Arabidopsis thaliana: one gene and its partner. The protein of the gene in region 1 interacts with the protein of each later gene in a pairwise test. Each region holds a gene or a part of one and is shown in the gene's direction. Other genes may lie near its edges.

Region 1 (4,791 bases):
AAACCAACGAGTGAGATGGAATCGGAATATTACTAAAATTAGGATGAGATGAGGTTTGGGTCCATACTTAACAGTGACAAATGACAATGATGGAGCTGACTTTTTCGTTCTTAAAACGTATCACAAGTTTTCTCCTACTTTAAATTTCATCTCCAAATTGTTGACCAAACGACATCGTCTGTTGCGACACCTTACCCCGATGTTTTTTCCTACGTTGCATGGACCTTTTCTTATACTTTCAAATAATTATTTGTCTTTTTTTCTCAACATTTATATCCACATTTTAACGATTTTCTCAGGATATTTTCTATCAATATGCTTAATTTTCTTTCTTTTTTTGTTAAAGAAATTAATTCCCATAGTTAACATGAGAGGGTTTAGCAAAATATGCTTAATTTTCTTGTTCGCTGATGTTTTTATTTTTATTTATTATTACTGATTCAGCATTCAAACTTATCATGTGATTTGGATGGTTATTGAAGTTTCATATTAATTGATAAATTAAATGTGTTGGGATGATGAGAGGTGATATAGAAATACATATTGTAGTGTTTAAATAGATATGGATTCAAGTATATAATTAATTCTTCTTAATCAAATTAATTTGAGTTGGACTAGTAGTCTAGTAAGTAGTAAGAGAACATATTCGGATGGTATCTTAAATTTATGAAATACAGTGTGTTTTCAGTTTTTATTGGTAGCAACAAATTTATCGGTTCATACCTCAAAGATAGTATTATACGTGTCTACGATTATATAAAAAAATCAATACAAAATAATTGTTCATTCAAGAAACAATCGGACGATATGAACATTATAGTTACAAACTAGTAAAAAGCTATAAATATGTAAAGTGAAAACTATTTAAAAGGGTGAAAATTAAAACGTATCAACGTTGGAGTGTTTCAAAAATATTTGGTTGGATAAGCTCAAACTAGTCAAATTGTCTCCCCTCCCAAGCGGGAACATCACGCCATGTCCACAATAAATCCATTTTTCTTTCTCTCAAATATATATAGAGATACATACATCGATACTATTCTATATATTATGTAACAAATTAGAAATATCATATACCACATGGTAAGTTGTATAAAGAGAATTATTAGTGTTTGCTTATTGCAAAATTAATACAAAACATTTTCTATTGAAGAGCTACAAATTAAGAAGGAAACTGAAAAATATAATAAAAAGCAGAATATGTTACGATATTTGTATGAGTGTATGAGACAACAGTATCAGATAAGATCATAATCCTTGCGACCAACCTATCCAAAAGTCTCTTTTTTGTTTTCTAATCAATTTACAAAACATTTAACCAATAAAAATATAAAGATGGTGAAAAAAATATGGTCATACAACAATTGCTTCAAAGGGGGATGAACTAAAATATACCAAAAAAAGAAGTGAGGATAGGTTCATGTGAGCCCCCATCCCACTTGACCCTCTTGGTAGGTCCACATTTACCATGAACATGTAACCCATTGGTTATTCATTTGTATGTATTGTTTTTTGTCAATGACTTAATTTTATTTTATTTTCTTCTTCTCTGACTTTTTTTTGTTTATCTGACTCTTCTATGTATGTCAAAATGTAGCAAGATAATTGAACATATTTGGATTGTTGAAAAACATATCGATATTTAGTGAATTAGTTTCTCCTCCAAGCATCTAGAATGTCATAACTGTGTTGAATTGTACATAAAATTTGATATGGATTGATCATTGATAATAAATCAATGAATTAATGATCTATTAGAATATGAACTTTTCATTCAAATTTAATTGATAATAAGTGGATTTGTCTATATGTAATATTTTAGTCAAAAAAATTGTTTCTTTTCAATGCGATATTATTATCCTTAAAACGTTTTCTCGAGATAATTTTTTTCCGAGCCATTAATTTTAGTATGTTCAGATATAGATCGACAGAAAAACTATAATTACGTCGGACCAATTGTAGATTGGATTGAATACATATGGATCAGATTCTAATACCATATTAGAATATGAGGTATCTAATTCAAAACCAACTATTAATAAATAGATTGACTCATATATGTCTTATATACTAGTCAAGATTTCTTTGTCTTTTCTAATGTGGGATATTATTATCCCTAATATCATGAATAAAATCAAGAGTTAATGTTTAACTATATCTAATCTATACTACCCATCTTTTTTCGGAAACTATATATAAGTTATAAAACCAAGAAATTCTCGTTATCCAATAAAAATAATAATTTTGACTATGGTTATATATCAGTTTCAACAACTTATATGATGATTGATGAGAACCTTATTTTATGAAAGTACGTGGTAATGTGTTGTAAGAAAATGTTCTTACGCCGTTGAAATATTTTTCCAAAAAATGTACATAACAAACGTACGATATGTATGTAAAAGCCGTGGTACTACATTTATTTTTGTCTGCCCTTCTCGGAAACTTCCTTCAAAGTTATTTTTGCCGTTCTTGAAAGCGTTGACCCTACCTTTCCATTTTTAAAATGTTCTCTCATTTTGACCCATTTTTTTCCATAAACCAATCAAATTTTAACTTTCAAAAACATAAAACTAATTAGATATAAAATAATAACATGTACATGCACTTGCCTCGTCCATTCCTCACATCATCATATGTCTTTGTATATATATAGATGAACCAAAGAAATGAAAAAGTAACAACGTCACCTAAATCTCTCTCACCCAATTTGTGTTTCTTCTTTCTGCTAAAAGGTTATAATTTTTGTTTCTTGGTTTGGTGAGAATCTTCAAGAAACTGAAACAAAGAAAATGGATTCTAGTTGCATAGACGAGATAAGTTCCTCCACTTCAGAATCTTTCTCCGCCACCACCGCCAAGAAGCTCTCTCCTCCTCCCGCGGCGGCGTTACGCCTCTACCGGATGGGAAGCGGCGGGAGCAGCGTCGTGTTGGATCCCGAGAACGGCCTAGAGACGGAGTCACGAAAGCTACCATCTTCAAAATACAAAGGTGTTGTTCCTCAGCCTAACGGAAGATGGGGAGCTCAGATCTACGAGAAGCACCAACGAGTATGGCTCGGGACTTTCAACGAGCAAGAAGAAGCTGCTCGTTCCTACGACATCGCAGCTTGTAGATTCCGTGGCCGCGACGCCGTCGTCAACTTCAAGAACGTTCTGGAAGACGGCGATTTAGCTTTTCTTGAAGCTCACTCAAAGGCCGAGATCGTCGACATGTTGAGAAAACACACTTACGCCGACGAGCTTGAACAGAACAATAAACGGCAGTTGTTTCTCTCCGTCGACGCTAACGGAAAACGTAACGGATCGAGTACTACTCAAAACGACAAAGTTTTAAAGACGCGTGAAGTTCTTTTCGAGAAGGCTGTTACACCTAGCGACGTTGGGAAGCTAAACCGTCTCGTGATACCTAAACAACACGCCGAGAAACACTTTCCGTTACCGTCACCGTCACCGGCAGTGACTAAAGGAGTTTTGATCAACTTCGAAGACGTTAACGGTAAAGTGTGGAGGTTCCGTTACTCATACTGGAACAGTAGTCAAAGTTACGTGTTGACCAAGGGATGGAGTCGATTCGTCAAGGAGAAGAATCTTCGAGCCGGTGATGTTGTTACTTTCGAGAGATCGACCGGACTAGAGCGGCAGTTATATATTGATTGGAAAGTTCGGTCTGGTCCGAGAGAAAACCCGGTTCAGGTGGTGGTTCGGCTTTTCGGAGTTGATATCTTTAATGTGACCACCGTGAAGCCAAACGACGTCGTGGCCGTTTGCGGTGGAAAGAGATCTCGAGATGTTGATGATATGTTTGCGTTACGGTGTTCCAAGAAGCAGGCGATAATCAATGCTTTGTGACATATTTCCTTTTCCGATTTTATGCTTTCGTTTTTTAATTTTTTTTTTTTGTCAAGTTGTGTAGGTTGTGATTCATGCTAGGTTGTATTTAGGAAAAGAGATAAGACCAAAAAATAAATTGGAACAATGGTTTTGTGGAAAAGTGGTAAATAGACCTACCTCATAGTAAAACGTTACCGGATACAACCTAAATGTTTATCCGTTCCTAAAACTAGATGAATCAAATTAATTAACTATCTAAAATTGCATGATAAATCGGAAAAAGAGGATGAATTCTTGGCAATTTCATCCATTACCGTACAAGGACTTATTTCTCTTACTTGGCAACTAAAGGATGCTCATAGGTGTCTTAATGATCTCACATAGCAAGTTAGCAACCTTTTACTCTCTTTTTTTCCAAGATTACTCTACTCTAGGTGTTGCTTCTGTAATTCCTTTATTTTCATTTCTAATGATATTTACAAGTTTTGCAAAAAAAAAAAAAAAAAAAAGTTAGCAACCTTGGAGTCTCGACCAATCTTGAGGGGAGGATATGGCATGAATGATGTAATTGTAGAGTCATTCTCGAAATTCACCACTTCATAGCCCACATTGTCAAGGCACCATTCAAGCTTACAAATTAGCAGTAGTCTGCCTCTTATCGTCTCGAAGTTTTCTGGTATTGGTATAAGCTAGGTTTCGTTCCCCAAAGGTCGAACCATTAATAAATGACTGAAATCTTTTAACCTCAAAACAGAAATATGTAAACTGAACGAAATCCAAAATATAGTAATGTGTTCCCGAACAGATTCAAGCGACTTATAGTGCTTCTGGCAAACCTCACACGACTAGGCTGGTGAACGGAATGGTACGTAACCATTGCTAGAGGTTGTATGGCTTCAGTTTGTTCAGTTCAAGTACAAGAATCTTGGGGATTTTTGTGAACATTGCGGTATGATTA
Region 2 (4,791 bases), on another chromosome or scaffold:
AATTCGGTTGTTAATACGTCTCAATTTCGAATTTCTTTTCTAGGGTTTTTTAGGGTTCCAAGGAAGCTCTCAAAATTTCTGGTGCCTAGTATTTTTTTGTTGCCATCTGAAATCAAGAGTTTCCTTTTTCTCTCCATAGATCTATTAATTCATCTTTCGATTATCCAAAAAAAAAAATAACTTTTTAGTTTATCTTCGGATCTGATCTATCTTCTTTAGGGGGTTTTGAGTTTTTCTAGGGATTGTGTACAAAAGAGGGATTTTTTTGGTTTTGTTAGGTTTAAAGTGTATATAGAGATTAATAGAAATGGCTTTAAATTTTTCACATAGACCTTTTTCTTCTCATCTATCTGAGGAACCAATGATGATAGCCAATGGGAATTGGTGTTCAAGTTTCGATAATGGAAGGAAGAATACTGGAGGAGATGCTTCTTCTGTTGATATACTTGATGTTTTGCCATCTGATCCGTTTGGTATGGATATCAACAATACTTTCACGGCTATTACTGGATGGCTTGAGGATTTGGAGGATGATTATAATAACCAATATGGAAGAAGAAGAAGAGATGACATTTGGATTGGTGATGGAAACCGTCAGCAGCTGTTTGCTGGATTGAGTTTCTTTTGGAACAATGCAATGCAGTTTCAGAGTAGTGGTTACAGTTATGGATCAGAGTCATTGTTTGGTGGGGCGTTTGATGGGTCTCTGTTTTCCACATGTAAATTCCCTGAAAGTAGTGGGGAAAATAATGGGTTTGGAGGGGCATTAGATGGTGATGGATCTTGTCATGGTGCTTTCATATCTGCTAGTAGTGTTGATGAGGTATTGAGCCATGAGAATGCGAGGAATGGTGAAGTTGTAGGAAGTAGTGATCGCTGCAATAATGGAGAAGAGGATGCGTATGTTCATCCAGCGATTGGTTTTTGTCTTTATCACTTGCGAGGGAAGGATCTTCTTTCAGTTAGTATGGTTTGCAAGTCTTTGCATACTACTGTTTGTGATGACACGTTACTTTGGAAGCATATCCACATTTGTCGACCGTTGAATGAGAAGATCACGGAAGAGGCTCTACTGCATTTAACTGAGAGGGCTCAGGGTACTATGCAGTGTTTGAGGATCGTAGATTGCTGTAGAATTACTGATGATTGTCTTAAGCGGGTGGTGGCGCGCAACCGACAAGTAGTCAAGGTGAGCTTCTTTCCTTAATTTACTTTAAAGCGTATTTGGATTACTAATAAGTAATATTGTAAGTTTTTATAGAAGTGCCTGGTAATTGAATTGATTTGTGGGATCCTATTAAAACCGAATGTTGTTTTGTGGTTGGCAGATTGGTGTGCCTGGATGCACAAGGATAACTATCGATGGTATTTTGAGCGTCTTGAGGGATCTGAAGTCTGCGGGAAAGCTTCAAGTGAAGCATTTACAACTTCGTGGCCTCTTTGGAGTGACTAAAGATCACTACGATGAACTGATTGACTTGTTGAACATTGACAATAAAGTCAAGCAGACTATTCAGAAGCCGCGTTTTTACCATAGAGGAGAAGCTTGTGTGTCCTGTGATGATGACCGGGCACTAGATATTGAGATGTGCCCAAAGTGTCAAAATTTTAAGCTTGTGTATGACTGTCCAGCAGAAGATTGTAAAGGGAAAAAGAAAGGTTCTGAGGAATGCCGTGCTTGTTCTCTTTGCATACAGAGGTGTTATCATTGTGGTCGGTGCATCATTGACACTGAATACGAAGAAATGTTTTGTTTAGAGCTTTTGTGTGCTGTTTGTTCGAAGCCGACCCCTAAGTTAACTCTCTAGGTATAAAATTCCATCTGAGCCTTTCTCTTCTCTATGATTGAATGACTCAGTCTCCACGGTTCAATGGAGATGATCTTCAACTATCTCTAGAACCTTTTTTTTTTTAAACAATAAAAATATGTTCCATTTCATATTTGTTGAACACTCTTATCTTTATTATTGGAGATCTATTAAAAGTTTGCATCTTTGGGTTGTTCTTGTTCTTCATCTAATAATCAAACAAGAGAGATCATTTATGTAAATTTAAGATAAGCTTTGACAAATAATTAAAGACTCACGCGCCTTTTATATTAATCTTTGACATCTTCTGCTATCTCTCCTTCTTCCTTGGAGAAAACATGTTTGTTTCCGATAACAACAATCCTTCACGGGACATAAACATGATGATCGGCGATGTTACATCAAACGGAGATCTACAGCCACACCAGATCATCCTCGGAGAAAGCAGTGGAGGAGAGGATCATGAGATCATCAAAGCACCAAAGAAACGAGCAGAGACATGGGCACAAGACGAGACTCGAACCTTAATCTCATTACGGAGAGAAATGGACAATCTTTTCAACACTTCCAAATCTAACAAACATCTCTGGGAACAGATTTCTAAGAAAATGAGAGAGAAAGGGTTTGATCGATCACCATCTATGTGTACGGACAAGTGGAGGAACATATTGAAAGAGTTTAAGAAAGCTAAGCAACATGAAGATAAAGCAACAAGTGGAGGATCAACGAAGATGTCTTATTACAATGAGATTGAAGATATTTTCAGAGAAAGAAAGAAGAAAGTGGCATTCTATAAGAGTCCTGCTACTACTACACCATCTTCTGCTAAAGTTGATTCCTTTATGCAATTTACAGATAAAGGTACAATCTTTAGCTTGGTTTTGGGGATTCTGATTGATTTGTTGCAGGTTTGGATAAAATTTCTTAATGGGTTTTGGTTTAGATTTGGATTGAGAAGATAAAGACTGATCTTTTTTGGTTTTAGTTTTGTTCCTCTTTTAGTGCTAAACCTGGTTAAAGAGGCTTTTGACCATTAATGGCTAATTATAAAGTTGTAGATTTGGTTTGTTAAACTAGATTGACTTTTTATAGTAAATTTGGGTTTTCTTCTAAAATTGATCTTTATCTTTATCTTCTTGTAGGTTTTGAAGATACTGGTATTTCATTTACATCTGTTGAAGGTATTGATCTCACATTTATTGAATCTTTGAGTGTATATATAAATGGTGGTGTTGAAATCTTTTTTAGTTGGGGAATTACTTTGAGAGAAATGGTTGTATCAGTCCTAACTTTGGGTAAACAATTGTGCAACAACTTATGATTCTCTTATAATTCAGTGAAATAAAAGTGAACTCATACCAAATTGTAGAATGTTAGTGATAATGTGAAGCCGATTTTGTTTGGTTTGTGGAAGTAGTGTTAGTCACTTTAGTCTTGATATGAGTTGTATCTGTATGCAGCTAATGGCAGGCCAACGCTAAATCTTGAAACGGAGCTTGATCATGATGGTCTTCCTCTCCCCATTGCTGCTGATCCCATCACAGCAAATGGAGTTCCTCCTTGGAATTGGAGAGACACCCCTGGAAATGGTAAGTAACCAGACAATCTAACTTAGAGAGAGCCTCTCCTTGTTTATTAAGCTTTTGAACTTTTATGGCAACTACTACTAATCGTTGTCATGTTTGAAGCAGGCGTTGATGGTCAGCCATTTGCTGGGAGGATCATAACGGTGAAATTTGGAGATTACACAAGACGAGTTGGGATTGATGGTACTGCTGAAGCAATTAAGGAAGCTATCAGATCCGCGTTTAGATTGAGAACAAGACGAGCTTTTTGGCTAGAAGATGAAGAACAGGTTATTCGCTCTCTTGACCGAGACATGCCTTTAGGGAACTATATACTCCGCATTGATGAAGGTAAATCCACTCTTTCTTCTATGCTATTCATCGAATACTCTCTGGTTAGAGGTTTCTCAATATCCATTTGAATTCAGGGATAGCCGTTAGAGTGTGCCACTATGATGAATCTGATCCGTTACCAGTCCATCAAGAGGAGAAGATATTCTACACCGAAGAAGATTACCGAGATTTCTTGGCTCGACGAGGATGGACATGTCTGAGAGAGTTTGACGCGTTTCAAAACATAGACAATATGGACGAGCTTCAATCCGGTCGCTTATACAGAGGAATGAGATGAGAAAACGGTTACTACAGAAGGCTAGAAGAAACCTTTTATTTTTCATCAGTCACTATAAATAGCTTTTTTTGATCCAAAATACTTTATTTTCATCAGTCACTGTACATATGCACCTCTTTTGACATGCCATTGTGAATCAGAGGAATTTGATTTGTTTATTGAGAAATCTCTTTTTGATCCAAGAGCCATAAAGTTTGATTGGTAAACAAAACGGTTCAGTACAAGAGACAGGGACAATGAAAAAGCTGATAACTTTTGAACAAAACACAACACAAGTACAGGATTCCAATTCTCATACAATTCAGAAAAAGAAAAAAAACAGAAGAGAAAACGATATAGGTGTGTGAATAAAGGATTCACGTGCCTTTAAGAACAATGAGAACTCCCAAAGAGATAAACGCAAGCTGAACAAAGAGCCTTGCATACGTGTGTCCCGACTTCTGTTACTCTTCTTCATCCCACTCGTCGTTCTTGTATGAGACAAGCGTGTCGACTTTGTGAATCTGCAAAGTATGAAACCACCAAAATACTTAGACATTTCAAAGTGTATAAATAAAGGTTTCAAAATTCTTCCTCCTCCTTACCTTGGTATCAAAACCGTGTAACTTAACCATCTGTGGATTAGCAATCAACTTCGGGTCGCTCTCGATCCAAGTGAATGGAACAGCCACATCAGTATCCGTATACGCCAATACATCAAACACACCTAATACAAACAACATGCACAATCAAAAACGAGAATCCAAATCAAACTAGTTCCGAAATGATGATCACTCAAAGTTCCTAT

The links. Proteins that work in one complex are often made in the same cells at the same time.
Region 2: the proteins of RAV2 (region 1) and AT3G25990 interact in a two-hybrid assay, tested with the Arabidopsis thaliana proteins (one study listed by BioGRID).

What each region holds. Positions count from the first base shown.
Region 1 is NC_003070.9:25,877,650-25,882,440, forward strand, and holds RAV2 (uncharacterized protein), read left to right. Parts: upstream 1-2,673; 5' UTR 2,674-2,792; coding exon 2,793-3,851; 3' UTR 3,852-3,901; exon of another isoform or gene 3,902-4,306; intron 4,307-4,316; 3' UTR 4,317-4,573; downstream 4,574-4,791. Other genes in the region: AT1G68845 (uncharacterized protein), read left to right, coding at 4,785-4,791.
Region 2 is NC_003074.8:9,504,059-9,508,849, reverse strand, and holds AT3G25990 (Homeodomain-like superfamily protein), read left to right. Parts: upstream 1-2,062; 5' UTR 2,063-2,146; coding exon 2,147-2,669; intron 2,670-2,950; coding exon 2,951-2,989; intron 2,990-3,268; coding exon 3,269-3,397; intron 3,398-3,499; coding exon 3,500-3,724; intron 3,725-3,801; coding exon 3,802-4,004; 3' UTR 4,005-4,173; downstream 4,174-4,791. Other genes in the region: AT3G26000 (Ribonuclease inhibitor), read left to right, coding at 308-1,189, 1,329-1,808; MAD2 (DNA-binding HORMA family protein), read right to left, coding at 4,448-4,507, 4,589-4,710. UniProt on the Arabidopsis thaliana protein: Probable transcription factor that binds specific DNA sequence.